Linked DNA regions of Coturnix japonica. The protein of the gene in region 2 binds, or shares a complex with, the protein of the main gene of each other region. Links are inferred from orthologs where the notes say so. Each region holds a gene or a part of one and is shown on either strand. Other genes may lie near its edges.

Region 1 (9,465 bases), on a different chromosome or scaffold from region 2:
GACATCCTTCCCAGCAGTGGTAAAACAGCCAGACACTTTCAGCATCCAGAGACTACAAATCCCATGTACCTCCTTGGTACTTGCATAATTGGTCTGACTTACCAAAATGACTTCTAACACAGTAAGTTCCCTTGATTTTTACTGACCATCTATAACTGTAAGGAGATGTCACTGGGAGACAACTGCTCAGCATTTTTTCAAACATTACATAAACAATTTAGGTTCCTCCTTGCAAAGCATTCCTGTTTGGAAATCTCATCTTCTGAAATACAGTGGTAATCCTTACCCAAGAAGGTGACTGTCCTCCAAATGAGAAGCTGTACACCTAACACAAATGAGCCTGTACTACACGGTGAGCAGGAAGATTAAAGTAAAACAAGGCTGCTTACCTTTGCCTTGCGAAAATGGTAGACTACCAGCATGCTTATGAAGTCCAGCAGCATACAGAGTGTTTGGAATGAGATGATAGCAAGCCGTAAATACTTGTCCTCCTGTGCATAGCAGGGAGTATCATCTTTACAATTAGAACATCCTTCCCTGCAGGGCAGGCAGGTGTAGACTTCCTCTGACAAGGCCCCTCCAGAAAAGCGATTATCTGCATCCTTTCCTGAAAATATGAGGTGGGGAAGGGAAGGCAACTTTAATTGTACAGTACAGGCATCTTATTCATACAGAAGCAAAACAGTTCTCTGCTTATTCCCTCGCCTCCCTGTTCTCCTCTTTCATTAAATAAACAAAGTAGTTTGCCAGGGCTGCTTTTGTCATTTCACCTCCTTTGTCACCTTCAGAAAACACAGATCAATTCAGACATGGGGGAAAGTGGGTTTATTAAATGCATCCCCACTGTATTTAAGATGGACAAAATTTGCAGAGGACATTCTTTGAAGGATACTTCTGAATGGGAGAAAATTACACCAGGGATTTAGGAACAAAGACACAAATTTACACAGGCACATGAAAAACAGATGCTTTAACTACCTAATGTTTACAGCACAAGCTTCGATCCTATTTGAGACTGTTTCTGAATTTCATAAAGACACTCTCTAGTGAAATGAGTAGCTCCAAATCAGACAAAACTCCTCTTAAATAACATTTATTCAGCAAACTGATATAAGATTGCACTATTCCGTGCCCAGATCAAAACCAGCACATTTACACTACATAAACGTATAAATGTGCAATTTTCTACAGTTCACTGAAACACACTAGAAAACCTCGAAATCCAACTGGCAATTTAATATCTTGTCTGTGAAAATCAATTGTTCCTGAGCTGACATCTGACCCATCAAAGCACACCAGCCAACAGAGCATACAGGAGCAATCCTGCTCTTACTGATCTGTAAGAACTTGCCTGTAAAACCCTACATGACTGCTTACACTGCATGAAACTGATAGAAGAAATGGGTGAAGGAAAGAGAAGAAAAGCAAAATAATGTTAAATAAGAAAGCAAGCAGAAATTGCTGAAAATTCATAACAAAAACACAACAAGTTTTGGAGCTTCAAAGACTGTGGCTTAGAGAACCAGAGAATATGGCTGAAGGCAAATAAATGGTGTTTTAAAAACCATGATAGCCCCTCTTGTTTTTCACAAGACTAGAGAATTGACCCAACATTTTTGATCAAAACTCTCCTTCTCCAGCAGTGATGTTAGTAAATCCCACGTTATCTAGTCTTAATTCAAGAGACAGAGTATTTCAGTGATGTTTCACATATGCACATTGGCGTTTCAAACTCTCTTCAGGCTTTTCACTTAAAACATTTGAAACTGAAAGTTATATACATGGGTAATTGCTTCTTTTTTTTCTCAAATGTATGTATGAATGTGCAGGAACACACATCTTCTGGCAGGCAAAGCTTCAGAAGGGCACAGAGCAGTCATATACCCCAGTCTGCTTGTTTGGTGTGCTGTTCCAGCAGCCATGTCCTCCTTGCTTTTAGAGAAAGGCTTCTCTCACAAATCCTGCAGTGAGAACAGGCTGGCATTTATTTTTATGAAGACTTTGGATTTCTCTTTGGAGAAGCTGAACTGGAGAGCTCTCCTGGGACTGGGGACATAGCACTGCTAGACAAATTAAGTCCCGTACTAAGACACGAGAGGTGTACAAGCACCTTTTTCTGAGTAGATTCCACATCCAAAAAGCAAGAGCTGAGGGGAATCTCTGCAATAAATTATTGTTGAAGAATCCAATTTTAGGTTGAATAAAGCACCAAAGTTCTACTAAGGATATTCCAATGCAAAAGTGATTAACCTGTGAGGCAGAGAACTAAGTGCTTGGAGATGACTGCTATGAAAATGTTAAAATGTATGTATTCATAAATTAATCTATTCTACTAATACTAATACTGCTTCCTCAAAGTGAGCCATTAGGAGAAAGTGCATAATCTTGTACTCAAGCAATTACAGGTTAATGCAACTTGTATGATTTTTCACATATCTTTTTCTAAAATCAGTTTCTGATGAGATTGAGTCACAAACCCTACATGAATATGGCTTGAAAATCCGTTATGGTCATAAACTTTATGTTCTATATTTCTTAAAAGTGCAACCTTGAAAGCTGATAAAAAAAGACACACGAAATACATCAGTAACTCTGTGCCTTGTTAGTACTAAGGGTCCTCATTAACCAGTTCAGCAGAAAAGAGAGAGGTTCTACATATTTTGGCACTACCAGTTCTGAAGTCCAAACTCAGCTTTGGAAGGAAAACAGCTCTCCTACCTGACTTCCTCATCAGTTAAAGAATGGTACAAATTTCAACCCCTGAGCCACACACAGTTCTGGAGCCTGCAGCATGAAATGTGCAACCTCCTGGGGAGCAGCAAAACTGTATTCTTTAAGTTAGAAAAGCAGAATCTTTCCTACTGAGGACAATGTTTATGCAACATTGCATCTCAGTGTTCAGGTCTCCAGCTGAGTTTGCTGAGAAGGCAGACGAGCAATCTTTGAAGCCTGCCTGCTGAGCAAACTGCATAGCCTGTCAAACATCCCTGCAAAGCCATTTTGTACCGCTGCCTTTCAGACTCAGCCCAAACACTCATCTGGACCTAAAGAGAACCTTGATTAGAACTTAAAACTCTGTCACTTCAGACACAATGCGCAACTGCTGTTAAACATATTTTGTTGCAGAATCCCAACATTACTGAGAAATGCTTCCATTTCAAGATACAATGCACTGAATTCAATTTTTCAATTCATGGAAGTACAAAAGTGATCAGTTTTCCTACCCACTTACCTATTTACATCTTATCTTGAGACCTGCAAAACTTACTTGCCTCTTGATTCTAATCTTCCAGGAATATTTCTTAAACCATTAACATTTCCACTCAGTTACATCTCTCTTATCAGGCCTCACCAACCTAATTCCACACAAAGATTGTCAGGTCAGACAGTTTCTGTCAAAATTACTTGTAGTATTCATGTCTAGAATCCCTGCATTGGTATCAGTTTGAATCTCCAAATATACAGTTTAGAAATTTTAACCATTTTTAATTCTTACAGAATGCAGTTGGATGACAGGGCTAAGTTCCCTTGAACCAGTTTTTTCTGTCATTACTCCACAGTTACTTCCACTATCAGTCTTACTGCTCACATTCTGAAATCATCTATACAGTGTGGCAACCAGAGCTGCATCTGGTACAATTAAAAGCAGTTCTTTGTTAATGACTTTTCCTAACCTCACGCTCACGTTAACTCACAGCAACACATGGACAAATCAAAGAAGTCCCAGATCATCTAACTCTGAGACCTTAAATGTCAGCATATGCAAACACTTCAGTGAGAAAATTTAAGTGTAAGTTATTTAAAAGCAAAATTTCTGACCTAAGTTTGCCATGTTGGCTCCTCCTTCTTTCGCACACAGAGAAAAGGGGTTATTTGCATGAAGAGTTAATTCCTCCATCTAAAGACGAGTTTCCAAAGCAGCAAGGCTACTCTCCAGGGGAGCCATGCTCTCCCTACTGACTACAGTGGAAACCAAGATGACTAATACATGTCATGCATCTGCACTTTAGACAGCTGATATAAGATCATAAGAATCCCATCCCTTATGATCAGTGCTGTTATCATCTCTAGTCATAATTTTTCTGCATTTTTTTTGCGTTTGGTATGATAAAAATCTAAGAACGATTTTTTTTAATATGCTCATTCAAAGAGTTAAATCCCAGTTCCATCATAACTCACTGCACCACAGGAGCAACCAAGCATCATTCTTACACTACTAAAAGATTCATACAGCTCAGAGAAAAAAAGAACACTATCATAAGGGTGACTTCTACAACATTCCACAATACGAAAAGGGAAACAAATGCTCACCGAGTAAATTTCTGACTAAACAATGTGCTACTTATGCAATATATATTTACAGGAAATCTAATATAGACTATTAGGGGTGAGATATCTTAGTCAGTTTATTCTCAGACCAGATCAGATCAATTAAAATGGGTCATCCTCTGACACAGAATGAATACATTTATGGGACTCATGACTGCAAATAAACATGAAATTCAAAAGCTTTCCTGATGTTAAAAAGCTATACATCTTTCACCTAAAATCACCAACACTTTTTAAATAAGAAAGCAAAAGCAAAGATTCTGGGGAAGGGATTCACTAGCAAAGTAGGAGGCAAAGCAGAATGCCCCATTACACCTTCAAGCAATACTTTTACACTTGTGACTGCAGTGTATACTGTATTAGTATAACTGCAACAATTTTAGCACAGTGATTATATCTTGGTGGTCATACTTTCATACAGTGAAAGTAATAGACAGCACCTTTGGAGACGGCTTCTTTACATGTTCTGTTTCCTTACTTCCCTTAACGCAATCCAAGTACCAAACACTGTGCTTTCCAGAAAGCATAGGCTGCATGTCTTCCATGCTGTACCACCAGGCAGACTCTCAGAGCTGACCCATCTCTAATTCCCCATTTGTAAGAATTAGAGCTTGAATGTGCTCCTTTAGATTCTCCTCTGAACATGAAGTAAAATTAAAACAATTAAAGCACTTACAAAACCAGAGGCCAGAGCATTCCAGTTTGCCCTAAGGAAGGAAGAAACTGGTAAATTAAATTTCTCAATACTTTTGCTTGAATATAGATGCCAGGAATCTTTACTTCCTTATAGCAAGACTTCTTTTCATATTTTTAAATTTATTTATGAATCAAATATTCTTAAAGTGGGTATGTTTTACAGGATCCTCAAGAGTATCACAAATGACAAACCAAAGAGCTAGAACTCCTTAAGTGATTATATAATCTGAGAGTTGCAAACCACTGGGATTTCACTGTATAACCCTGACTAGGATAAAAAGGAGCCCTGCATTATTAATGCTCTCTATGCTTTTTTCCCCCCTAACTCAAGCAAAGGCACTTACTCTGAAAGCTGTTCACTGAAAAGATGTTGGGATGATAGAATCCCTCCTTGCAAATACATTTGTAGGCTCCAAGCACAAATCCAAGACCTTTAATTGGCAAGCACTGTGAGAAAAGAAAAAAGAAAAGTAATGCAAATGATCATACAATGATATACTCAATGTACATTCAAGCATAAGAAAAACATTACAAGATACAGTGTGCAGACTTCGAAGAAGTGCCCCTGCCAGTCTTAACAGTATCTTCTCCGTGACTTTTCCCACAGCCATATATCACTCTGCTTTTTTTCCTTGCAGTTAATTACTAGGAAACAGCACAGTTATAAAACAACCTTTCCCATGACAATTCAAATAAGTGCCAGACAGACTTCTGTCCATGTGAAGCGGGACACAGTTAGCAGGCTACATCCACAGTACAGTTGAGAACAGGCCTATAACTAAGTCCCAGCCCCAAATCCCACCTCAAACATGTGCTGAGCCAGGGGACACATCTATCTCAGGTAGTGCCTGCAGAGCACAGCTCCAAGCACACTAAGCTACATCTGTTCTGGCCTCCAAACCCTCACCAGCAGAACAGAGGGGGCTCAGAGGGCTGGGGCTCACACAGCATGGAACAGCGTGGATGTCTGTGGCCCACCTTCTGCAGGCAGCAAGAAAGGCTGGGATCAGGGCAGACCCCCTGACTGGCAACCATAAATTGGTTGAGATTTACAAAGTCAAAACAAAGACAGCAACTGGTTAAACAAAATGACTGTGGCCTAAACCTGATCAAGGTCAATGACAGCAAAAAGGTAATGAGCGGGAGCCACATACTTCTGAGTTCCATTGCCCCTTTTCAAGGAAGTAACATATGAGACAAGTTTTGCTTTAACTCAGATTCATTTTTGCTATTTCCAACATGAAGACGAACAGCAAATTTATGACAATGTCAGAACATCTACTGTCAGACCAATACTGTACAAGAAATAGGCTGTGACCAGCACAGTGAAAAGGGTTTGGCAGTAATGAAATCATAAATGCTGGTAAAATGATTTCTCCCCAGTAATGCATACATCATTTTACCAGATAAAAGTAGGCTACCGCGCTAGATACCCGTCCCATCAGTATAGGTACAAACACACAGGTACCAATTTACTGCTGTAAATATGAAGTACACAGTCATATTTCCTCAAGGAAAAACTGAATGATATAAGAAAAGGACCTTCTGCCCTCTCAATTCTGCCCCCAATTTCACTTGCTTGCACCTGACTTTGACTTCAGGGTGTTTAAATCTCTGCCTGCCTGTGGCTGGGAGGAAGGTGCAGAAGGCAGGGCTTAATAAAAAGAAGATCTGAGTTTCAAAAATCAAAGGCAAACCAAGAGAGTACTTAAGGAAAACTCAAGTATTTATCTTGAATTTCAGTTTTGTGACATAATCCTGCCCAGCACTGAGAAAGCCACCTGGCTTTTCTTGCCCTCAAGTGGGCAGAGCCGTCTCTTTCCACATTCACAGTGCCAAACACGGTACATCAGTGCAGATTGGCAGGTGCTACTGGGAAACAAGCAAGCAGGAAACCAGCAAGAATAAACACCAAAAATTCATTCAGCCTGTGTAAACATGAAAGCAGGGAAAAAAGCAAAGAGAAGGCCCAAATCATTTTTCTTCTCACTTCATCTTCTGCAGAAAGGAGACTGCTGACAAGGTGGAGAATTGGAGAAATCAAAATGCGTAAATCCAATGACAACAAAGCCTCTTTTAGCCAAGCACAAAAGAAGAAGCTAAAGAAGGAGAAAGAATGAGTGAATTCTGTCATCTCCAGCACCTTTCAGTCATTGTGCTTCAGGAAATGTATTTCAGGGGAAAATTCTGTTCGTGCTTTCTGGCTTCTTCCTTTATAACATGAAGGTACACGCTGCTGTAGATAACACAGTTTCATTCTGAAGCCAACAAAGAAAAGAGCGAGCTTCGGCTGAGCCCTGCAAACACCACAGCACACCAGGACCACAGCCACAATACATTCTCACTGCACAAAATCTTCACTAAAGAGGTGTCACAGGCTCATAAATCTGCTCTGTATTAAAATGAACACTTTTTACCGATGATTCTTTCACATACATCCTATACTCATATTAACAGCAGTTCATAACTTTTCTGTTTTATCGTTCCTAACCAGTACAGAACTTGAAAATGAGCAGAGTATTTCAAAAACTGCTGTCTTCTTTGATGTAAGATATTATTCTTGCTTCCAGTCCTTGGCAGCTGCAGTGTACAACTTAAGAACTGCTGGTCAAAATCTATGTCAGGCAGTCCATATAATCCCATGAAAGGCATAAAAGGCATCAGAAGATCAATCTGTTGAAAGGAGAGGAGGAGAAAAAGCGAGCCTGGATCCCTCCAGAAAGCAGTAACAGTTTTACACTGTACTCAGAGACTACAAACGTTGAATGTAAATAGAGCTATTTACAGGTTATTTGTTGTGTTTTGTTTTGTTGTTGCTGTGTTGGTTTCTTTTTATAGAAATTGCAGCAACAAGGCAGGGAAGAATATCATATGGCCAAAAGGGGGGGAAATACTTGTAAAAAACCTCCCTCTTTTTGAAACTGATTTACAAGTTATTAAGCATTACGGAGATCTTAGTCCTCCTAAGGCTCTGCAGAGTATTAGGGGAAGAGAAAAAAAACACCACACACTAAAAACGCGGCCAGCCTTGACTTTGAATATTTCAAATTTTTCAAAGCACAAGAGCAGCTTTCAGAATCTGTATTTCTGCATGCATACATGATAAGGATGACTGCCTCGCCTAAAGTCAACTCCTTGTTCAAAGACTGGAGTGAGAGTAAAGTAAAGCCATGACAGATAAAGTTTAACAGAAGCATGACAAATCAAATCACTCCCTGCAGTGGCATAGGGCAGCACGGGTGCAATTTCTGGAAGATCTTGTAAAAGTAAGGGTTGGTTTGTGCTGGCCCATGACTACAGCTGGAGTGGGTAGGAGTGCTGCCAGAGCGTGGGGGCTCCTTTCCCACTGCTTACTGCACTGTCAGGCGCAGTCACATGGGGAAAGGAACAAGAGAAGACAGATAGAGTAAAATTTTGTTCACTGGAGTCAGTAACAGGTGTTTTTTTTTCATTGAAAAGGATTTAACCACTATATTTGCTCTCTTCATTTACCCACCATGAGCAAGATTTCATTCTGAGATGTGTTTGTAGCCTCCTCAGAAGTCTGCAGCATCCCTGGCCTTGTGTACACACCTGGGAGTCAGCAGTTTGCCTCTGGTCTAACAATGCTACTCACAAGCTTCTTGTCTTCAAATGCATTTTATTTCAAAAGGAAATGATAGAGCCGGTCAATCCATATCCTGCATTTCAGGGTAACTTGGTAGGCTCCCATAACTCTTATCCTCTCTCCCAAGTGCATCACTGTAGATCTTTCTTTTAATAAAATTCAAATTTGAGAATGTGTTTCCCAGCAATGACGTACTTACTATAATGATGGTGAATTGCTTAAATCCTGAGTCAGACAAAGCAATAGCTGATCTGATTCAGCTTGCAGCAAAGGCAGGCATCGGGAAAATATTTGTCACAGGTGAGTAACTGATGATTTTTTAGCTTTGCTAAAAACTCCACGCTGCTTTTTAATGTTATTAATGCTCTTAATTCTGATTTTGTTCAGCTATAGCACCAGTGTAAGCAGTGATAGTAAGGAGTTGCAGCCCATTCACACTAGTAATTAGAAACTACATATGATCATGAAAGCTATTATTAATCTTAGCTATAAGTCAAAACACTCTTGAAACAGAAAAGGCTATTAGCAATATGTATTTCATTAGGATACTTTGGCTACTAATGGTAAATCACAAATTTGCAGAAATACTGATGTCAAATCGGGCACAGTGCTGGCAGGAATCACAGATTCATTAAGGTTTGAAAGACCATTAAGGTCATCTAGTCCAACTGAGGCCAACCCATGCCAGTGACCGCTCAGAGCAACATCTACCCTTACTGGAAGTTCCTGCTTGCAGAGTCTCTAATTCCCTTTTCTGCTGTGTGTAGAAGCTTGGTCACCCGGCTCTGTGTCTGAGGAACTTGAAGGAACTTGCTTAGAAGAGAGTAAAGCCA
Region 2 (9,465 bases):
ATTTTCTATGTTTTATGTACTTAAGTTAGTAAGTTCAGTGGTACTGGTTCTATGCATGATATCTCTAGATAGAAAGGAAATTAAAAATATGGTAATTTTAAAGTCTAAATTCAAATAGCTGTTAATAACTTGGCATAAAGATAAATAAATGGAAGAGCCACAAAAAAATCCCTGACGATTCCCAACTGTTACTTAAATAAAACAGCCTTCTCTCACTTCAGTCATTTGCTTTGGCTTTCATTCATATTTTTAATAAGTAAATATCCTAAATGCATTCCTGTAGTTCTTATTTTCTGGAGCTCTTTTTTGCTCTCCTATTTGTTATTTGTTGGAGGACTACCTGGCATTTATGCCTTACAATTTCAAATAACATTAAGGGTGCAGTTTGAACAAAGCGATTCCATATATTTGGTATTAAGAGCTTTCTTTCAGAAGAAAAATGTCTGAAGGAGCAGCCGCAGCTGGTGCTGTTGGATGGTTTCTGCTGGCAGCCCTGCCTGGTGCTGGCGTCTCACCAGCGGCATGCTGCCTCTCCAGCACCCAACTGCTCTGTGCATGAGTTCTCCTCCCTCATCAGTTCCGTTCTGGTCACCGCAATTAATTTTCATTTCTTTCTTTTGTCCTCACTTTCAGCTCATTAATTTTTGGCCAGTCTCCATGGCTTTTTCAGCTCAGCATTTTGCTCCTTCTCCCTTCCCTCTTTAAGGCCTTTTCCTTCCCTTTTTGATCTCATAGGTTCGGTGAGAAGCTTTTAATGGCAACTTACACAAGGTCTGACATCTGTTCTGCTGTTCTCAGGTCAAGCAGTCCCTTTAAAGAAAATCAGGATGGTCCCAGCCACCTCAGGAGGTGCTGACTGATGACTCTCCCCATAAGGACAGCCTCTTCCCTTTGGGTTTCTCCCTTGGTCCTTATTTTTCCTCAGCAGAATTAAGACCTCACTGGACTTCCTAATGGATACACCACTGTGAAACCAAAGCTATACTTCGTCTGCTTGGTGGTTGCCACAGTAAGAACAAATAAGCCTTGCCCTTGGTTAATCTTAATTTACAGAAGCGGATTTTCATAATGTTTGGGAAAAAAAACAACTGTCTTTTCTCAGTGGGGATGTAAAAATATATCATGCCTACCAGGAGTTTCCATTCCCACTGTGGCAGCACTGACAGATGACAGTGGAGGGACGAAGAGATCTCAAATAAAGGCTTTAAAAATCAACTTGCTGCAGAGAAGGTTTTGTTTGATTTTCTTTTTCAGCCAAATTCACTCACAGATAACAGTAGAGTTGCATCACTTGAAACACAGGCTCAAATGAAACATCAATAGAGCTACCTGGCTACTTTAAAATCCTTTAAATGTATACTTTAACCTTATAGCCATTGTGTTAATTTCTGTGCAAATATAGGAAAAGACTGCTATTCAGTATAAGCTTCATATCTACTGAGGCAAAAGAAGAACTAGAATAAAATGGGCCTAGGGATATAAATAATCTGCGTATTTTTATTGTCCAGACAATGTTGCAAAAGGCTTTGAGAAGAAATAACCACCATAATTTCCTTAGGGTAAAGTTGTATGAAATATTCAATGCAAGAATCTGAAGTGTTAGTTATTCGATGGGAATGATTCTTCAAAGCAGACACTGGTATCTAATTAGTTAAATCCTAAGGAAAAGCAGGCAGTATACCAGCTGATGCAATCGGTGGCAGCAGGAGTTGGGAAATAAATATCTCTATTTGGCACTGAGAAGTGAAGCAGAGCTCAAATTTCTGTGGATATCCTGGCCCCAAGTTCATGCCTCAGAGCTCTCATTTCTGCAGTAAAGGAAAATTAAATCTCAGAGTTTAAGATCTGGGGTTCAGTGTGACTATTTATTAGAATTCATCTAGCCTCCCTAGACTGAATATTTTGACTTGACCTAGATGGAGCTCTTGATAAAATCAAGCTCTCATGGGCATTACCAGTGTTCTGTGATAAAACTCAGCTCGGAAGCATTGTGCTGACAGAAACTGCAACACTTTAATGCAGTGATTATTATCCTAGTTAGAAACCAGAAACACTGCAGCATGTGAAAACAAAGAACAACAACAACAAAAACAACAACACAATTCCCTTCTCCCAGATCTCAACCAAGTAAATAGCAGGGGGGTAGCCATTCAAGGTGATGAACAATCTGTTTGTTCTTGGGTTTATTCATACCGTTTCTCTGGGGATGCTGCAGTCAGGGTTACAGCAGCTCAGCTCCCTTCTGCCCTCAGCAGCCCTGTCCCAGCGGCAGTAACGCAGGTAGGCATCTGGTGCTGACTGAGATGAATCCAGCACTAATCTATTCTAATGTACTGCTGGATTGTGTCTACAGCCAGCTTGCTTTGTGTCAGGAATGGGGGAGGTGGGGAGAATTATGACATTTTTAGGTTTAGTAGTCCCTCTGCAACAAGATCTCTGTTTATCAATATCACACAAAAGTGAGTACAGCAGATGGTACCAGCTCTGGCTGTCCTGAGCCAGTCCTGTGCAAGGCTAAAAAGGATCTTTCAGTACATTTGTCCTACACACCATCTAATGTCCTGGAGCTATTTGTCATTTGCCTTAGTTCATGCCACTGCTTTTCTACTCAGAGATTCTGCCACTGTCTCTAAATCAGATATTCGGTGAAAGTGCAGCTTCTCTTCTGCAAGCAGGGATATTATGGCTTTAGCTCCATTTAGCATCAGAAGGCTCTATATCCATTGTCTCATGGACAATGCCTACAAGCTCCTGTGAAACTATGAGTAGGTCTCTCAGGTGAATATCAGTATTAGACACAAATACAACAGCACATGTGAACTGAGCTCCTGAATTAAAATTGCATGTTTCTTCATTTTCAACCCCAGGTTTGAGCTCTAGTCTCAGCACTTCCAAACCACCGTTTCAGCTTAAAATGTTGCACTGCGGCACGCATGACGGCAAGGAGAAAGAAATGGTGACATATTTAGCAAAAGCATACTCATGTTCTCAGCCAGACTTGATCATGTCCATTCCTAAGAAAATGCAGTTCAGTTGATCTGCTCTTGGACAGCAACTGAATCGCTGAGCAGACTGTGTAGACTGCACCATTACAGCTAGCTTAAAGAAAAGTTTGCTTATGTGATGATGAGCAAGCTGGAAAGGTCTCACTGCTGCTAGCTTGCTAAAAAGAAAATGAAGAGTAAATGATTGTCAATAAAGTGTGTTTGGTTAGGTGTCACTCAGAGAAAGAAAATGCCATTTCATGTCACTTTTTAGAAAGCACAAGGTATGTAACTTTTGGGAATGGCTTTGCTCTTGACTAATCTTCCGATTTAGTATTAAAATCTCAAACTTCCCAAAGGAAAGAGACTCTGCATATTTTAATGAAAGATAAAACAACAATATAAACATACACAAATTTACAGAGGAAGGATCAACTTTAATACATCTGGAGTAAAAGGTGTTCTTTTTTAAATATGGTATAAAAATAAATGCAAGAAACATTAACAGAGAATATACAGACAACAGACAAAGACACAGGCTTTCTTTCTCAATGTGAATACATCAGTGAAATGAAACCTTCTGTGCTAATTTATTGTGCAATAAATGTGATGCCATATGTATATTTATTAATATATGCATTTTTTACATATCTTCCAGTTTTTGATTGACGTATTTTTTTTTTAAATAAACTGTGCCTAGCAGAAGCTTTTTTTTCACTGTACTTGAGCTTGCAGAAAATAAAAAGACACAGATCCAGCTTGATATGAAGGAGGAAGTGAGCAGACAGTTTTCGAAATGGAGGCATCGAAAGGCTAGAGAGTCCCTCGGAGTCTGTAATGCCTTAGTATACACAAAAGAAAACAAGTCAGGTCCTTGCTCATGCAACATCTTGTTCTACTGTCCTCTGATTCAGGCAATCAGTGAGCTACAAAGTATGTATAATGATTTGAGTCTGCTTCCATGCTACAAGGTGATCCTTTTAGTAGGACTGCACTAGACTGGTTAACCTCTTTGATGTGAGCGATTTCCCCTGAGGAAAAGATAAAAACAAAAAACAAAAACAGAAAACAGAGGCATGATCACTGCAAACCTGTTCATCAGCAACCACTCAGTGTTGCCACATCACTGTCAAATATCTAGGGGCACCAACTGGAGTCTGTCAAATCTTAAACCACAGGAAGCCCTGACACTTGCACACCTGCACTGCCAGCCAGCCATTCTGTTTCAGAGCGTAATCCAGCAAATTCAAAGGCCAGTTTTGAATGAGATGGGGTTTGGCTGTTAAGAAACTACTGCTGAGGGTTTTGCTGTTGGTCTCTCCCAGAACTACTTGAAGGTGGCCACCAGAAGTGAGGGTGCCTCGTGCTACTGCAATGTGCACACTCTAGTAGCTCCATCAGATTGCAGAAAGCTACTTTACAGTTCAAGTAAGAAAGTAAGAGGCAGATGGCATACAGGCAGGAAAGCAGCTTTTCCATGAAATTTGCAATAGACTTGCTGAGACTGCATATAATATTTATGAGGAGTATTGGTCAGGTATGTTACATAGAACTACCTAACACTGCATAGAAGGTGTTTGGATTTTCACATTGTATTTTTCCTCATCAGTTCTCCTGTTGCAGGAATGCTGTTTCAGTTTTTTTCAGAAGTTGTGTCCCCCAAGAGTTAGATGTACAGTGCAGGTAGGATAGTGTGGATATGTTGTGATGGCATATTTCAGGCAGACTTGAGCTTTAGCTGAGCCAGACAAAAGCCACAAAACCACACAAGATGTCAGTTAGCTCTCCTCAGGCCATCCTGCTGTGGCACCAATTCAGCAGAGGCAGAGCTGGCACAGCAAGCTTACAGCACTTCTCAATACACCACAGGGATACCCTGATAACATACCATAAATGGTTCATAAAAATAAAAAAGTAAAAGGTTCTATCCAACTTGTCATTTAAAGGATATTTAATATTTACATCTATTGCATTGTTCATTTTAATATCAAACTGACTTCAAAGAGACTCAGTAAGAAATGTAACTGTGAAGAGAGGACTTCTGCAGTAAATGGTAAATAAACTTATTCTGCCTTATCAATGATCTGTTAAGTAATCTGTTGTACTGTAACTCTGTGGAATGTCTGTTTGCAAGCTGGTTTTGAACATTTGCTTACATGCAATATTCCAGAATGGGTCTTGACAAAAAGAATAGCCATTTTACTCTTCGTGCTCTGAAATAAATGTCATACAGATGAAGGTGGATTTTCCCCCTACAGTGTAATCTTGAAGGGAAATAATGGTCTGTAATGTTGAATTAGATTCCTCATCTCTCAAGTTCACCATATTGCCTGACAGTAATAGCGCTTGCTTCTTAGAAAGACAGCATATCTCCTTCTAGGCATAGTCTTCTCCCTTTATCTAGCTGTAACTCTATGAATTTCTACCTACATTAAATTCAGCATTTTGGCACTAGTTTAGCCTTGAATTATGTTCTCCCATGATGTGGTAAGTAAGCTGTTCACACCACTAAGCTAAACACTTTTTAGATAACCAAAAAGCTTCCACAGCTACATGGCAGTGGACTACTACAATTTAAGACGGTATGCCCAAATTTATTAAGTGATTTTAGAGGTGATGCAGGGTTGTCAGTCTTGGACATAATCTAAGAAAATATTCAGCAAATGCTGATCTATACTTCTCATGGAGATTTTTGTGCTTAATTTTGCAGGCCTACATGCTTGGCTACTTTTTATAACTATGTAGGAGTTCCATGGGGTATGGAACTGTCTAAAAATGAATTCTCTCTGGTGGTTTCTATTAGTTATTAGAACAGTTCCCTCAGTAACACACTGGAAGGCAACACATGCACACTGGGGGGATAAAAACTGTGAATTAATTTTGTCTTCTCATCTGCAACAGCCAATTCTCTGGGCGTTGTAATTCCATGGAATTTTGAGATGAACCATTCTGGCATCTCTGGAATGAACTGTGATATTGCATAAAGTAGGAATTTTGGATCTAAGCATGGGCAAAAAACTATACATTCATGAGTTGATCTGACTTGATAACCTTATTCTATGTATTAACTGAAATTTTCCCTATAGATGCATTAAGATGTCATGAAAATTTTGTTATTTGGCATCACTTCCTCCCTGGTTACTGCTCACCACAGTAAGCTGAAAGACTTCGGATAGTTTTTCTCCTAATTTAAGGATTTCTCTGGATGACTTATTCTCCACCTTCCCTCTCCAGAGATTAATCTGATTTTTATTTGAGGTATAATGTTAATTACATTTCCATAAGCCAAATTTGGTCAATTATAACAAATGGGCAAGTTCTAAAACGTGTGGCATATGACTAATCACACATAGGAAAATGTCTGCTGTGCTTGCAAGATTAAAGAACATTCAAAAACAAATTCTGAAGTACTGGATTTTCATCTGAAGAAGGAAAAGGAGATCTTTACTATTTTTATTGTATTCTTGCCATCAACATGCAGGAGTATAGGGCCAAATTCTAAACAAGAGAAGGATTTTTGTCTTTTAGGTTTAATTTGGACATACAAATTGAAACAATTTAACAATTTTATGATAGCTCACCAGCCAAATGAAGCCTTGTGTACATATGCAAATGACCTTTAGAAACCCCTTCCAACTCTAAGGATTCTATGATACTGTGATTCTGTATCCCAACAAGGGAGTCAGAGTACAAGTAGGCTGCAGAGCAGCTGGAGTGAGTCAATTACATCGATGAAAACCAAATAACTGACCTCAGTATTCTCTCACCTACCTTAATGTATTAACTTCTTAAATGCAGAGTTGTCCTTCCAACTGTACTTTTAGAGAGCTTGGGGGAAAATTACAGAAGTATGTGCAGATTTATGAGCAACAAATATGCTGACTGACCTATTTATGTAGCTGGACACTCACAGCTTAGATAATCTGGCAAGTCAGTCAGCAATAACTTCAATTCATATGTGACATAAGAAACCAATGTGAAATTTATATAGGGACAAGAGTTGAAATATATGAAGGTTAAGAGATTAGTTTTTGAATTATTTTTCTTTCTGCTAAGCAACTTCAGTGACTCCTTTTTCAAGTTTCTTGATTGTCCCCAGGACTCATACTTCAAGCTGGTAGAACTAGAAAGGGAAACTCCACATCCAAAAGGGAGAATGGCATGAACCCTATTTGGGTCAAAATGAGACAAAATGAGGATTGGCTCTCACCATTCCTGATCTGCTCGTGTGTGGCATACACGCTGAACGCCAGCAGCTTGGCCAGCATCAGCAGGCAAAGTTCCCAGGTGACATCCCTGGTGCCACACACAGTGCTGAGATAAACAGCCCCTGGCAGGAGCACATCTGGAAAGGCACAGGAGCAGAAACAGTAAGTCTCTAGCCAGGATTTAGCCAGCCCTCGCTCCTCTAAGGCAAGCAAATGCAAATGAATTTAGCATTGCCTAGAGAGTCAGGATTTTGCTTTGATTTTCATCCAGCTGTGCTAGCGTATTTCTCTTTCAGGAAGGTGATGAAGAGGAGGAGGTTAGCATTTACTCAATTTAGGGGCCTATAGTGGGTATTTCAGTCCTTTCCTAATTTTGCACTGTGTCTGTTCCCTGTCCTGGAGCAGTTCATAGACAAAAAGCAGTGTCTGAGCAATTGCATATTCTTGGCATGTTCCAAACTGGGTGATACTCCCTCTTTCTCCTTCCCTGGTAATCTGCATATTCTGATGAGCTGCACTAATTTGTGCTTAACCAACAAGCTCTTGCCAGATGGGATAGTTTAAACTCAAAAAGCCAGTGAAAGGATGGGATAAAATCTAAGATTTTCTAAGATGCCAATGACACCATGTGCCATGACAGGTAGTTTGCTTTGGTATCATTCTGTATTTCTCAGTCTTCCAGTAGCTCAGTACACAGGCAAATATTTGTCAGCTGGGAAATGGCAGTCACTGTCCTAGTACCTGAATGGGAGTGCTCTGTTTCCTAATGGAGACAGACCCAGCTGTTGCCAGCAGCCCCTCTGCCCCAGCAAAAAACAAGGCAGCTCAGCTCATCATTGCAGAACTGGGCAAGGAGGCAAACCTTCACTGGTATCTCCTAAGGATTCTCCTTTTGATTTTTCTCATTAAGCTGAGCATCATTCCTCAAAAACAACCTAGATTTTTAGACTAATTATTAGTCTAAACTCAAAATTTCAATTATTATTATCATTGTTATTTTTCCATTAAGTCATTTCTTTTCTAAAAAAGAGAAAGTTCATTTCTATAATAATTTGTTATTTTTAGGTGAGGGGTTTTTTTTGTTTTGTTTTTTGATCTTTCAAAGCTTTGTGGTTTTTTTCTGACATACTGTTTTTCTTCCATGTTTTAAGAATAAACCTGTAAGCAAATTTCAAAAGTCTAACAAGGAAAACTTCCATGACTGCACTTTCCATAACTGAACAAAAGGTCCTACAGCTGGTAATGCATTAAAGCTTGTTCAAAATGCTATTCTCCAGAAAAATATAGCCCATTCTTGGATTTCAGAGCCAAGTGGACTTCTGGTCTGGCCCCCAGGTATGTAAAAAGTTGTTTTATCTGTCCAGAGAAAAATTTATTGGCTAATGGGAAATTCATATCTGCATTGTTTCTCAGTGAAGGGACAGTTCTTAACATGGCAACATCAATTTAAATATCTGTAAAGTTTATACCCCACTGAAAAGAAATGAGGAAGCTATTTTAAAGAGTTTTAATTTCCACTTCTAGACCATAATTTTCAGTTTTTCATATTAAGTTACACTGGACATTGGATTGCGAATGTATGCTGTGTTCCGTGGCCTTCATATTTCTTATCTCATGCATTAAATAGTCTAATGTTACTAGTTTGGAGAGGAAAATCCTCAAAGGAAACTGGTAAGCAAGTTCTAAGCTAAGTGGAAGCAGACAGCTGGAAAGAGCACAGGTAATGTAAGATATAGTGGTTTTAAATTCAGTGTTATTAAATGGGGTTCTTGCTTATGAGGCTACAAGTGAAGATATCATTTGATGACTCTGATTTAATAAATGAACTGAGTTTACTCAAATTTTTACTGGCTGTTTTTTCATAAAACACCACAAACTTGCAACAAGCCCATTTTTTTCACCTCTACAGTTAAGCAGCAACAGATAAAACTGTGACACTGGTGGTGGCATCTGAAGCTGTCACACCCACATGCAGTGATGGAACATCTCCCCGGGGTGGCTCTGAGGAAAAGACTGCACTTTCCTGCCCTGTTAACTGGTCTCCTGCCAAGACAGGAAAATTTGCATGTAGTGGAAAAGAAATGAGCCTATGTAAATGAGATGCTTTGTTCTGTGTTTCCGGACCACTGATCACAGCTAAACACGAGCAAGTGATCACAAAGGTGTGTTGCTCAGAGACTACCACTCTGTGACTGTCACAGTTCCTGATGTGAAGGAGAAATTAAAGTCTTCCTTAAAGGACCTCTTTTCTCCCATCAGTGTTATCAGTGCAC
Region 3 (9,998 bases), on a different chromosome or scaffold from region 2:
TGGGTTCAAGGATATGTTTTTTGATTCTTGATTGGAAAGTGGCCATGAGATTCTTTTCCCTAGGGCACTGCATTCCTTAGCTATGCACGTGTTATGTGCCTGTCCAAACAGGGCTCTGAGGTATATGTGTGTGAGTCTGCTTAGCCTATGATCTTGACTGTCTCCCTTAAACAACACATTAAAAAGACAAAACTTTTGCAACAAGCTGACTCAGCAAAGACTGGCAGATTGGGGTCAGTCGAACTGTTGCAGCTCTCCTCAGACACAGAACTGGAGTGCTCTGTGCATGGCCCACTCCAGGCTGAAACCTTGTTGTCTGGCATGCTACCTGCAGTACTCGGGTGTGGAGTCTGAGGGAGTTGTAGGTAGCTGCAATGAGGATACAGCGAGGAAAGGCTGCATAGCAGGGGTGGCTCTTCTGTGTGTGTACCACCACAGAAGGTCCTGCCAGAAAACCTGTATGAAGAAGGAATGATGATGGAGACTTCTTAATCTTCAGCAGTTAGTGGTGAGGTGATAACCCACTCTCCTGGTAGGAAACACCGTCCCAATGTGGTCACAGTTGTTTTTGTTTTAGTTTTTTGTAGTTAGATACAAAGCTCAGGTACTTACATGGCGACTGAAGAGCTTATTTCCAAAACTGCTTTTGCAAACTTAGGGATTTCATTGTCCTGATTATACTCCAACTTGGAGTAACTATTTCATCCTCCTGAACAATAGTGTAGCAGCATTTATAGATACCTTTCCCCTCTCCTTCCCCAGAACTGGTTGTGACCATAACTGAACAGCTTTCAATACAGAGTGTTATATTTGAGCATCAGGTGAAGTGATCTCTGTAGGAATGCTAGAAGTATTAACTAGCTGTGACTGGAAAATACAGTAAAAGGGGCAGATGAGAGCACTGATGTGGTGACTGCAGATGTGTGCAGTACAGTCATTTGTCACGTTGTCAAGAAAGAAATTCAGATGTAGTGACTGCAAGACAAAAGATGGTTTCTTCTCTGTTTATTCTCTTCTAATGCCTTTGAAGCTGCTGCTTTGCTCAGGTCTTTCTTGGCCAGCAGCCTATAAATAGTGATTTATCTGGTACATTTTTGCATGACTTGGTTAGTGCACACTGTCATAGCAGGAAACTGGCTGGTTGCTATGTACAGTTACTGTAACTTTCTCCTTATCATTTGCAATGTGGAAGTTAGACTGTTACCACCAGAAACAGCTGCTAAGTGGAAACAGACTGAGACTTCAGGAGGAATTGCCTCCATCCCTAACAGCCTGTTAGGCACTGTATTAGCACTGCAGTACGATCCCAGCCTTTCTTGTAGATCTGGATTTAGCTTTCTTCTACATATTTATTTTATATATATAAAAAACCCCCACAAAAACCAAAAAACAAACACAGCTCTTTGCACCAATAGTGAAATACATACAGCTTGGAAGCAGCATCCTTTTTTCAGACTGGTTTTTCAGAGCTGTGGGTGTCCTTTGGTGTATGTCACAGTGCACAGTGTGTCCTTGCCAGGCAGGTGTTTGTGCATGGGTGTGCATAATGTGTTGTGCAACTGGACAGACCTTTTGTAGCTTCTCATTTGCACTGCTGGTGGTCAGTACAAAGTGACAGCAAAAAAGAAATTAAATACCAGCCATTACTGCATCATTAATGGAAAATGACATTACAAAGCCCAGTTGCTGCTTTTCCACGCTGTCCACATGCCATACCTTCCATACAGGATGTTTTCACAGCATTTTGGCCTGTGCTGATGTGTTCTGAAACTCGCCTGAAATCAGAACACAAACTAGGAGGACCTATATTTTATCTACTGCTGCAGACTGAGCTGCTATGTCAGATTAAATGTGGTCAGCTCTAATATTGTGGTAAGAAGTTGTATACAACTAAAAAAAAAAAGGTATATCACCTTCAGTACGGTTAGATTTTATGAAAAGGGTGGAATGAAAATATTTGATTGCTTCTTAAATGGTAACATTTTTTCTTTGGAAGTTGATACGGTAGAATGTTATCCATTAAAATGACCCAAACCTGCTTTATTTGAAACTCCCAAATGGCCTTACTCTAATTTGTTTGGATTATTTTGCGTGGTTAGCTAATGATAGTGTTACCTAACTTAGGTGCACAAAATATATTCCATGTGTCACACACTTCTACAGCTCTGCTCTGGAGACACTTCCCTGTTGGAGCACAGGACCAGATCTAGGCCTGAAATCCACCTCCATGGTGACAGTGGGAAGCTCAGCAGCTCTGCCTGTGTGTCCCAGTTGGGCAGTGGCACCGCTGCTAAGCCAGTGTGGGAAAGGACTCATTTTCTCCAGTACAGTGTCCAGGATGTGCCCTGAGTCCAAACAACAGCTGCAAACCCTTACTTTATTATCTCCCTTTCCAATCTTGGAACTTCTCCAGGTTGAACAATAGCTGTTGGATTGTCTGTGTTCTGGTGAAAGGGAGACAATGGGAGTCAGAATGAGCAAAGTTACTCCATGTAGATTAAGGACAATTGCTGAAAAAAGAGGACGTTTTCAAGGAATTCCCAGGGAACAGAGAGTTGCAAGGCAGTTTGGCACAGTCCTTTCTCTGGAAATGTTATAGTTACTTTGAGTCCAGAGTACATGCTTCCCATAGACCTGTGAGCAGAGGCTGCTGGGGTGTGGAGCTGTGCCCCATGCTCACAATAAGACCAGGCTGGGGGCTTCTTTGTCCCTTTCTGGACTTTTGGAAACTGGTCCCTTTTGAGGGCTGGGAAAGCCACTCTCCAGGCCCTTCTCAGCTTTATTACCCTTCTCTGGACACACTCCAGAGCCTCGATGTCTTTCTTGCAGAGAGGGGCCAAAACCAGACATATCACTGGAGTTGTGGCCTCACCAGTGCCAGTGTACAGGGACAGTCACTATCTCTGGCACAAGCCAGGATGCCATTGGTCTTTTTGGCCACCTGGGCACACTGCTGGTCCATGTTCCAGCACAGTCTGCTAATCCTTCTCCACTGTGCAGCTTTCATCCAGTTTGCCCCAAACCTGCAGCAGAGCATGGGGTTGCTATGACCAACATGCAGGACCTGCTCTTGCTGCAGTGCACGCAGTTCGCCTCAGCCCGGCGGTCCGGGTCCCTCTGTAGGGGCTTCTCCACATTAATGCCGCTGGATACAGTCAAAGGCTTTGCTGAAGTCTAGGAAGATGACATCCTTCCCTCAACAGAGCGTGCAAAGTTGCGGTACAGATTCATTCTGGCACACAGCATCACCCCGCTGCCATGTATTGCTGAGCTGTGGCAGCGGGCAGGGCTGGGTGCACCTGCAGCAGGGGACCGCCGTGCTGCGGGGCGGCAGCGTGCGGGGGTGGGGGGGTGGGGGGGCCCGGCCGCGGAGCGTTGCTGAGGCAGCAGGAGCCTCCGAGCATCCCTGAGAGCCGGGCAACAAACTCCTCCTCCCTCCCTCTCATCTGTCTTTCGCCGCTTCCTTTGCAAAGATGGCAACCGAGGGTCTGCACGAGAACGAGACGTTGGCTTCGCTGAAGAACGAGGCGGAGAGCCTAAAGGGGAAGCTGGAGGAGGAGCGGGCCAAGCTGCACGACGTGGAGCGTGAGCGGGGCCGGGCTGCGGGGCGGAGGGGAGAGCGGCCTGGCCGGGTCGGGCAGCAACGGGCGGAAGGGAGCGGGCAGGGCCGGGAGGGGAAGAGGAGCGGCCGGACCGTGCTCGGGGATGCGGCCGGGGGGCGCCGTGACGGACGGCTCCGTGCCCGCAGGGGGCGGCGGGGGAGGCCCCGGGGTTCCGCAGCGCCGGGCCCGGAGCTCCGCTCCCGGCGTTACAACGCGCATCTCAGGGACGGGAACAAAGATTGAAGGCGGCCCCTTCAATTTTTGTTTCCTAAAGAGCTGCTGAATAGCAGCTGTGGGAGGGTTAAAAGGGACTCATGTTTTATTTTTTTTTGGTCTGCAGTAAATAGGGGATTTTCTGGTCTGAATTTGACGGTCATAATTTACGCCCTATCAATAGGAGTCATTAAGCAAAGGGAGATGGCCTCATTACAGAAACATTACCATAAATCGTCACATCCATACAGCACCACTGCCGTATCAGTAGCAGTGGGGCCTCTCTTTGACAGACCCCTTTGGCATACGCTTAAATCCACCTTTGCTCAGGAAAGCAGTTTCACCCACGGTTGGAGTGATGCTGTAAAGGACATGACGTTGCAGTTGTAGGATATTTACCTCTTTTCTCACACGTAAAATCTGTAACTTACGTTGGCCGTGTCATGGTTTCCATGTCCTTATGCTCATGTAGGGCAGTGCTTCCTCCCAGTCAATTCTATATCAGAGTGTTTATTTTGTGTTCCAGTTATCCCCAAGAGCGATTTCTGCAGAGGTTATAAATAACAAAATAAGGCATCTCTCTCTCTCTCTTTTTAATCTAAAAATGTATCTTTTGCATTTTTTCCCTCTGTTCATGACCCTCCCTCTGTGGCTCCCAAAACAAACATCTGGCTGAACTGGTACTGCCCTTATTTGTTCAGTGGGTTTGGAACAGCAGCTCTCAGAAACATGGACAGAAAGGGGAAATACCAAACGTGCATTTGAGCCACAGTGTTACAGATTCAGGGATTCGGTTCTCTCACTTAAAATGTGGGGTATAAATAAAACAGCTTGTCCTGTTCACGTGAGCCATAACTTTTTAAGGCCAGAGATACCATTAGGACTTCCAGCACAGAAAAGATCAAAGACCCGGTGGTATCTGCATCAAATCCCCACTTCCTGTTGGGCCAAACCATATGCTCTATAAAAATAGCATGTTTTATCTGGACCTTTGTAAAACCACTCAGGCTAATTACTGGCTGCAGCTGATCTGTTTGTCTGAGTGCATAATTTTCAACTATCCTGAAACAATGTCAGGGAACGCTTCAAAATGATTATCTGACTCTGAAACCTGTGCTAGGCGGGTACAGCTTTATTATGGCTGTGGCTGGAGATAAGCGTCCTCACTGAACGTAAAAGCCAAACCAGACAATTCCACAGAGTCTCAGTTGTGTTGACATAATGGAAAGACTTTGCTATTGTCTGTGAAATGTTTGTTTTTTCAGATATGTTCTGGACTCAAGCGTCTTTCCAGCTGCCATAATAACCTCCTGTCCCGTGCATTCGTGTCTTCTGATTGGATTACTGAGCAGGTGTCAGTGGGCAAATATAGGGGGAAAATGTACCTTTTCTTGAGTAAGCCTATAGGATACTAATCAGAAACTTGTTTCTGACCTCTCATTGGAAATAGTGGGGTCAGATGGTTGAGGATGGTGGGCAGCACTTGGCCCCAGGCTGGGAGAGGCTGAGCAAGCAGAGATTTCAGGCAGAGCATTGCTCTGGCACAGCCCATAGGGCTGATGGTTTTGAAAGACTTGAAAATCTAAACTGCTTGAAATCAGCCCCTGCCTTAGGCAGAAATTTCTCCCCTGACCCTGTGCCAGGGATTGATCTCAAAGTGAAGGACACCTGCAGGTGCTCTAGAAAAGTGACAGAGTAAAGCAGCAACGTTGCTCTAGAGCACTCACCCATCCCACACAGCGTGGACCTCAGCCTCTAGCAAGGCTCTGAAAAGCTTAACATTTCATCTGCCAGCTCATTGAAGTGTGTGAGCTTCTGCATTTATTTCTAAAGATTCGAGTCAGGTATTGTGCCCTTAGCTAGCAGCAGCTGTGTTGTCTTATATTTCATTATGGACAAACATGACATGAGGTAGCACTGGATCCCATTATCATAGAATGGCCTACATTGGAAAGGACATTAATGCCCATCCAGTTACAACTCTCCTGCTGTGCTGCCACCCACCAAATCAGGCTGCCCAGTGTCTACCCAGCCTGGCCTCATGCACCTCCAGAGATGGGGCACCCACAGCTCTAAGCAGGACTAACATCTAACCTAAATCTCCCCTCTTTTAGTTTTAAGTCATTCCCCCTTTTCCTGTCACTATCTTCCCCTGTAATAATCTCTCTCCTGCTGGCAGGCTCCCTTCAAGCAGAGGAAAGCTGCAATGAGGTCTCCCTGTAGCCTTCTCCAAGCCCAACACCCTCAGAGTTTCTTCACAGGAGAGGTGTTCTGGCCCTCTGATCTCCTTCATTTCCCTGCTCAGTTGGAGCTGTGTCTTGGCCCTTGGGCATCAAGTGGGGATGGCATGACAAGAAGTCTCTGGTAGCTGTATCACACTGAGTCTCACATGCAGAACAAATGTTTTACAGTGAAAACTTCTGAGATTTGATGCTTATCCCCTTCTTTGTATGATTTGTTCCTCCAAGACACAGCAGTGATCTTCGGTTCTGTTGAGCACCTCAGGGTGTGGGTGAGGCTGGGGATGCTCTTTCAAGCCACAGCCAGCCTGAGGGTTTTCCTCAGACAGTGAGAGGGAGGAAAGGGGGTGAGTAATTGATTTTCCAGTTATGCTTGGGAATGATAGCGTGCAAGTGCTTCAGCTGCTACAGTCCTGGAATTCAATCTGTGACTGAGTGCATCCATATCTTTTTTTGGTAGATATATTCATACACCTCCCACCTTGGTTTTATCACCTGCCAGTTCTAAGGCAGACCTTTTGGCTTGCATATAGGCTCGTGTTTCTTGGATTAATTCCTCCAAGTGACATTACTCACACATGCAGAGTCTTTCTGTGGCACAATTTCAATGCAAGGTTCCCTAACCATCAGCTGTTTGCAGTTCATCAGGTGGCAGAGCGTGTGGAGGCATTAGGCCAGTTTGTGATGAAGACCAGGAGGACCCTGAAGGGCCATGGAAACAAAGTTCTCTGTATGGACTGGTGCAAAGACAAAAGAAGAATTGTGAGCTCTTCCCAGGTATGCCACTGGGCGGGTGTTCTTCAAAGACAACGTTGGGAATTATACTGATCTTTTAGCTGTACTATGTGCTGCCCTTTTCAAATGATACCTTTGCACAATGTACATGTTTTCAGTATGCCTTTAAAGCTGTATATTGCAGCGTATTTGTTCAGAGAGCACAAATCTGAGCATAACTACATACTAATACCCGAAATGTCACTTCTGCAGTCATTTTTTTCCCTACTGCTAAAAAAAATAGAAAGAATTCATCTGAGGCAAATTCATAATTTTATTGCCTTGGTCTTTACAGACTTAATGTTCAGTAATGATTTCACTTGATGTGTTAACAAAAACCAATCAGGAAAAGGGAAGGAAAGCGATATTAATTCTTCCAGAGATTCCTGTGTGCAAACGTTTCTTCCACAATCTTGTATGCCCTTAAAAGCCTCAAACAATCTGCCAAAGCTACTGCATTTACTTGGGCATTTTGAGAAACTGTCCTACCACCTGCTCAAGACCAGTTTCATGAGCTGTAGGAGGTAATAAGATAATTACTTTCTAGATCCCCTGGTTCATCATGCGCCCAGTATGGCAGTGAGTGAGCTCGCTGCATCACACAGCTGTTCATTGACCTATATGAAATCTGTCAGGGGTCTCACCAGAGGGATAAAAATAGGCAATCTGCATTGCAAGCCACCTTCAGTTACTGTGAGTTTTTTACCATTCATGGTGATTTTAGCAAAGAGAATCAAAGTTTAAATAATTAATGTGACGGGTTTGGTTGTTTTGTTTTTTTTTAGTAGTTAAAATGCCACTGTGTAAATCAGAAAGCTAAACAGTAAAGTTGTAATGCGTTTTGTCTCCATTTCTAAGAACTGACACGAGTCCAGATATAGCAACAATTCCTACTTACCAATAAACATTTCAGTTTCACGAAGCTGGAAGGACAACCAATATGATGCACTTAAGGCAAAGTTACTGGCTTGATTGTTGCTGGCATACATAAAGTGTATGTTATTCTCAGTGGAGTGTTGTTACAATTGCTATTTAGCTGATTGTAACAGTGGATAATTGAAGTAAGTGTAGCAAGAAGTAAAGAGGAAAATAGAAAAAGACAGGAAAGGAAGATGAATAAACACTGCAGTATCCATAAATGATTCTGTGCATGTTCCCTGTTGGGAAAATGACTTGAAATACAGGTCACCTCTTGTATTTGTAAGGCCTTGGACTGAGCCACCAACAGGTTTTACATGGGAGAAGTGTCTGGTTTTGCAGATGGTGATTGCAGGCTGGGGGAAACACGTTGTGGCTGAAAGGAGGCAGGTGAGCACTCGCTAGCAATGACTTCTTGAGGTGGTTCTGTTCTGACTTTGTTGAGCAGACAAAACAAGTTCTCATAAACATGCTTGAGAAAACCCTTTTAAAAAGAGATCAGTCTTTAATCTGATATCAGTAATCTCAGAAGGAAATACAGTTTTCTTTTTGTAAAAGAAATAACCAGCACCAGTGAGAATCATCTCCTTGGTGCTTCACTGCAACTGTTGTAATGTTGTTAAGATGGAGACAAAAATGAAGTATCAGACTGGGGGATATCAATGAGCAGCAGAATTTCCTCCAAATTTGGAATGTGAGCTGACAGTTGTACCTCTCTGTTTGTGTGTTTTCATTTAGGATGGGAAGGTGATTGTGTGGGATTCGTTCACTACCAATAAGGTAGGTGAAAGTCAGCAAAGGTCCAATTTCTGTGCAGAGGGCAAACAGCGGTGGGATACAGTGGAGGTCTGAAGGGCAAACAGGTGGCACAGGTGACAGCAGTGTGATAGAATAGCCTGCAAGCCTCCACCAGCACCTCAGAGCAAGGAGCCCACACAAATCATCTCCCTTCACTTGCCTCTGAGCAAAGTCCCCACAAGGGCATTGTTATTTGTTATGGTCTGCAGCATGTACCAATCCAATCCTGTCACTGATGGGATGCCCCTGGGCTGGAGGAAAAGCCAGGCTAGTTAAATGGAAAACTTCCCTGGGTAACAGCTATGCAAGGTGCCATGTGTGATCACCAGGGATTCTTAGCCATGGTGTTTACTGTGATATGACAATACTGGTTCTCTAAGCTCTGTCAGGACTCTCCTTTCTTCAGACAGCTGTGAAAATACAGCTTGTTTCTAACTCACCCACATATGTACCACACTGACATTTTCAACACCAAGTGGCAATAAAACATGCTCTGTGTTTGGGGCTTATGAATAAGGTGACAATAGTCAGGTACGGAGTAGCTGTCCTACTACTGTTTTGCTGGGTTAGGGAAGTAGTGATTTCTAAGTTTTAAAGTGAGATACTGTGTTTCAGGAACACGCTGTGACAATGCCATGTACCTGGGTGATGGCATGTGCATATGCCCCGTCTGGATGTGCCATTGCTTGTGGGTAAGTTTCCAGTTTCCCCAGCTGCTTGTGCAGAGAGACTTGATTTGCAGGGATCTCCTGATGCCTTCACAAGATGCCGACAGTTAGAAGCTTGCGTGCCTTGATTGTGGATGGGAGGATTATATTCAGTGCCTCTGTTTCTAGTCCCATAATGGCTCATCCATTTTGTCTCCACTGACTTCAGTGCAATAACATCTGTTGTATAAGCATGGTAAATAATCCTCTTTCAGCATTTATATCATGTGTTAGGAATTCTGCATGCATGCAAGTTCTCTGTTCCAATTTGATTGTGTGCATTGGATATATCTTCTAAGGCAGAGTGGTTTTAACCCTATTCTTCCTTTGCTTTCTTTCTTCTAAGAGGTAGAGAGAAAGGTTGTCCGATAAGGATTATCAGCACATGAATAGATCTTGTGGAGATGAAGTGGGGGGAAGGGACCCTGTCCTTGATAATTATCTTCAACTTTTCTGAGGGCTCAGGTTTGGAAAAATCAAGTTTTTGCAGGAGAGAAAACAAAGAGAGAAGAAGTTGGCAAAAGATCTTTTAAAAAGGGACTGGGTGGATCAGACAGACAAAGTAAGCTTGGGGCGAGAAAGAAACAAAGGGAGACTTTACTGTGCTGCTCACAAATGTGGAAAAAATACTCCATAAGTGTCTGTGGAGATGGAGTTCAGAAATTGTATGACTTTTACTACAACTTGGAGAATAACAGGGAAGTTCTTGTAAGGGAGGCAATGGGGACATAACTGCATCACCCTAC

The links.
Region 1: the proteins of RGS7 (region 2) and GPR158 are in contact, whole or in part, in a cryo-EM structure (PDB 7SHF), measured with the Homo sapiens proteins. The link is inferred for Coturnix japonica from reciprocal best matches to the Homo sapiens genes RGS7 and GPR158. Residues at the interface, in NP_001351815.1 of Homo sapiens: Gln35, Ile43, Ser55, Arg109, Phe110, Thr112, Pro113, Tyr114, Phe115, Lys134, Thr136, Lys140, Ala141, Arg142, Leu143, Leu145, Ala146, Asp147, Ala150, Leu153, Gln157, Trp164, Phe168, Met169, Gln170, Glu172, Ala173, Gln174, Lys176, Val177; in NP_065803.2 of Homo sapiens: Leu507, Lys508, Phe510, Leu511, Arg513, Thr514, Tyr595, Tyr598, Ala599, Thr602, Val603, Pro604, Ile714, Arg715, Leu718, Lys719, Tyr722, Leu725, Glu726, Tyr728, Lys729, Arg730, Met733, Ile734, Thr735, Asn736, Asn737.
Region 3: the proteins of RGS7 (region 2) and GNB5 are in contact, whole or in part, in a cryo-EM structure (PDB 7EWP), measured with the Homo sapiens proteins. The link is inferred for Coturnix japonica from reciprocal best matches to the Homo sapiens genes RGS7 and GNB5. Residues at the interface, in NP_001351815.1 of Homo sapiens: Pro19, Leu22, Val23, Lys26, Val30, Ile72, Val76, Glu77, His80, Leu81, Leu84, His88, Val207, Asp213, Ile214, Lys215, Lys216, Leu258, Gln261, Ile262, Trp265, Gln266, Gln268, Leu269, Arg271, His272, Arg273, Leu274, Lys275, Met276; in NP_057278.2 of Homo sapiens: Leu57, Glu60, Ala61, Glu62, Leu64, Lys65, Leu68, Glu71, Lys74, Leu75, His76, Asp77, Val78, Glu79, Leu80, Val83, Leu90, Phe93, Arg98, Arg99, Leu109, Lys117, Arg118, Ser134, Phe135, Trp149, Met151, Leu167, Tyr197, Ser206.

What each region holds. Positions count from the first base shown.
Region 1 is NC_029517.1:15,018,287-15,027,751, forward strand, and holds part of GPR158 (probable G-protein coupled receptor 158), read right to left. Parts: intron 5,473-9,465; coding exon 5,370-5,472; intron 608-5,369; coding exon 390-607; intron 1-389. UniProt on the Homo sapiens protein: Metabotropic receptor for glycine that controls synapse formation and function in the brain. Acts as an atypical G-protein coupled receptor that recruits and regulates the RGS7-GNB5 complex instead of activating G proteins.
Region 2 is NC_029518.1:32,481,405-32,490,869, reverse strand, and holds the end of RGS7 (regulator of G-protein signaling 7), read right to left. Parts: exon of another isoform or gene 4,016-9,465; coding exon of another isoform or gene 3,965-4,015; exon of another isoform or gene 3,826-3,964; coding exon 3,628-3,825; 3' UTR 3,343-3,627; downstream 1-3,342. UniProt on the Homo sapiens protein: GTPase activator component of the RGS7-GNB5 complex that regulates G protein-coupled receptor signaling cascades.
Region 3 is NC_029525.1:7,756,566-7,766,563, forward strand, and holds the start of GNB5 (guanine nucleotide-binding protein subunit beta-5), read left to right. Parts: upstream 1-3,354; 5' UTR 3,355-3,473; coding exon 3,474-3,585; intron 3,586-6,695; coding exon 6,696-6,832; intron 6,833-8,485; coding exon 8,486-8,527; intron 8,528-9,160; coding exon 9,161-9,237; intron 9,238-9,998. UniProt on the Homo sapiens protein: Enhances GTPase-activating protein (GAP) activity of regulator of G protein signaling (RGS) proteins, such as RGS7 and RGS9, hence involved in the termination of the signaling initiated by the G protein coupled receptors (GPCRs) by accelerating the GTP hydrolysis on the G-alpha subunits, thereby promoting their inactivation.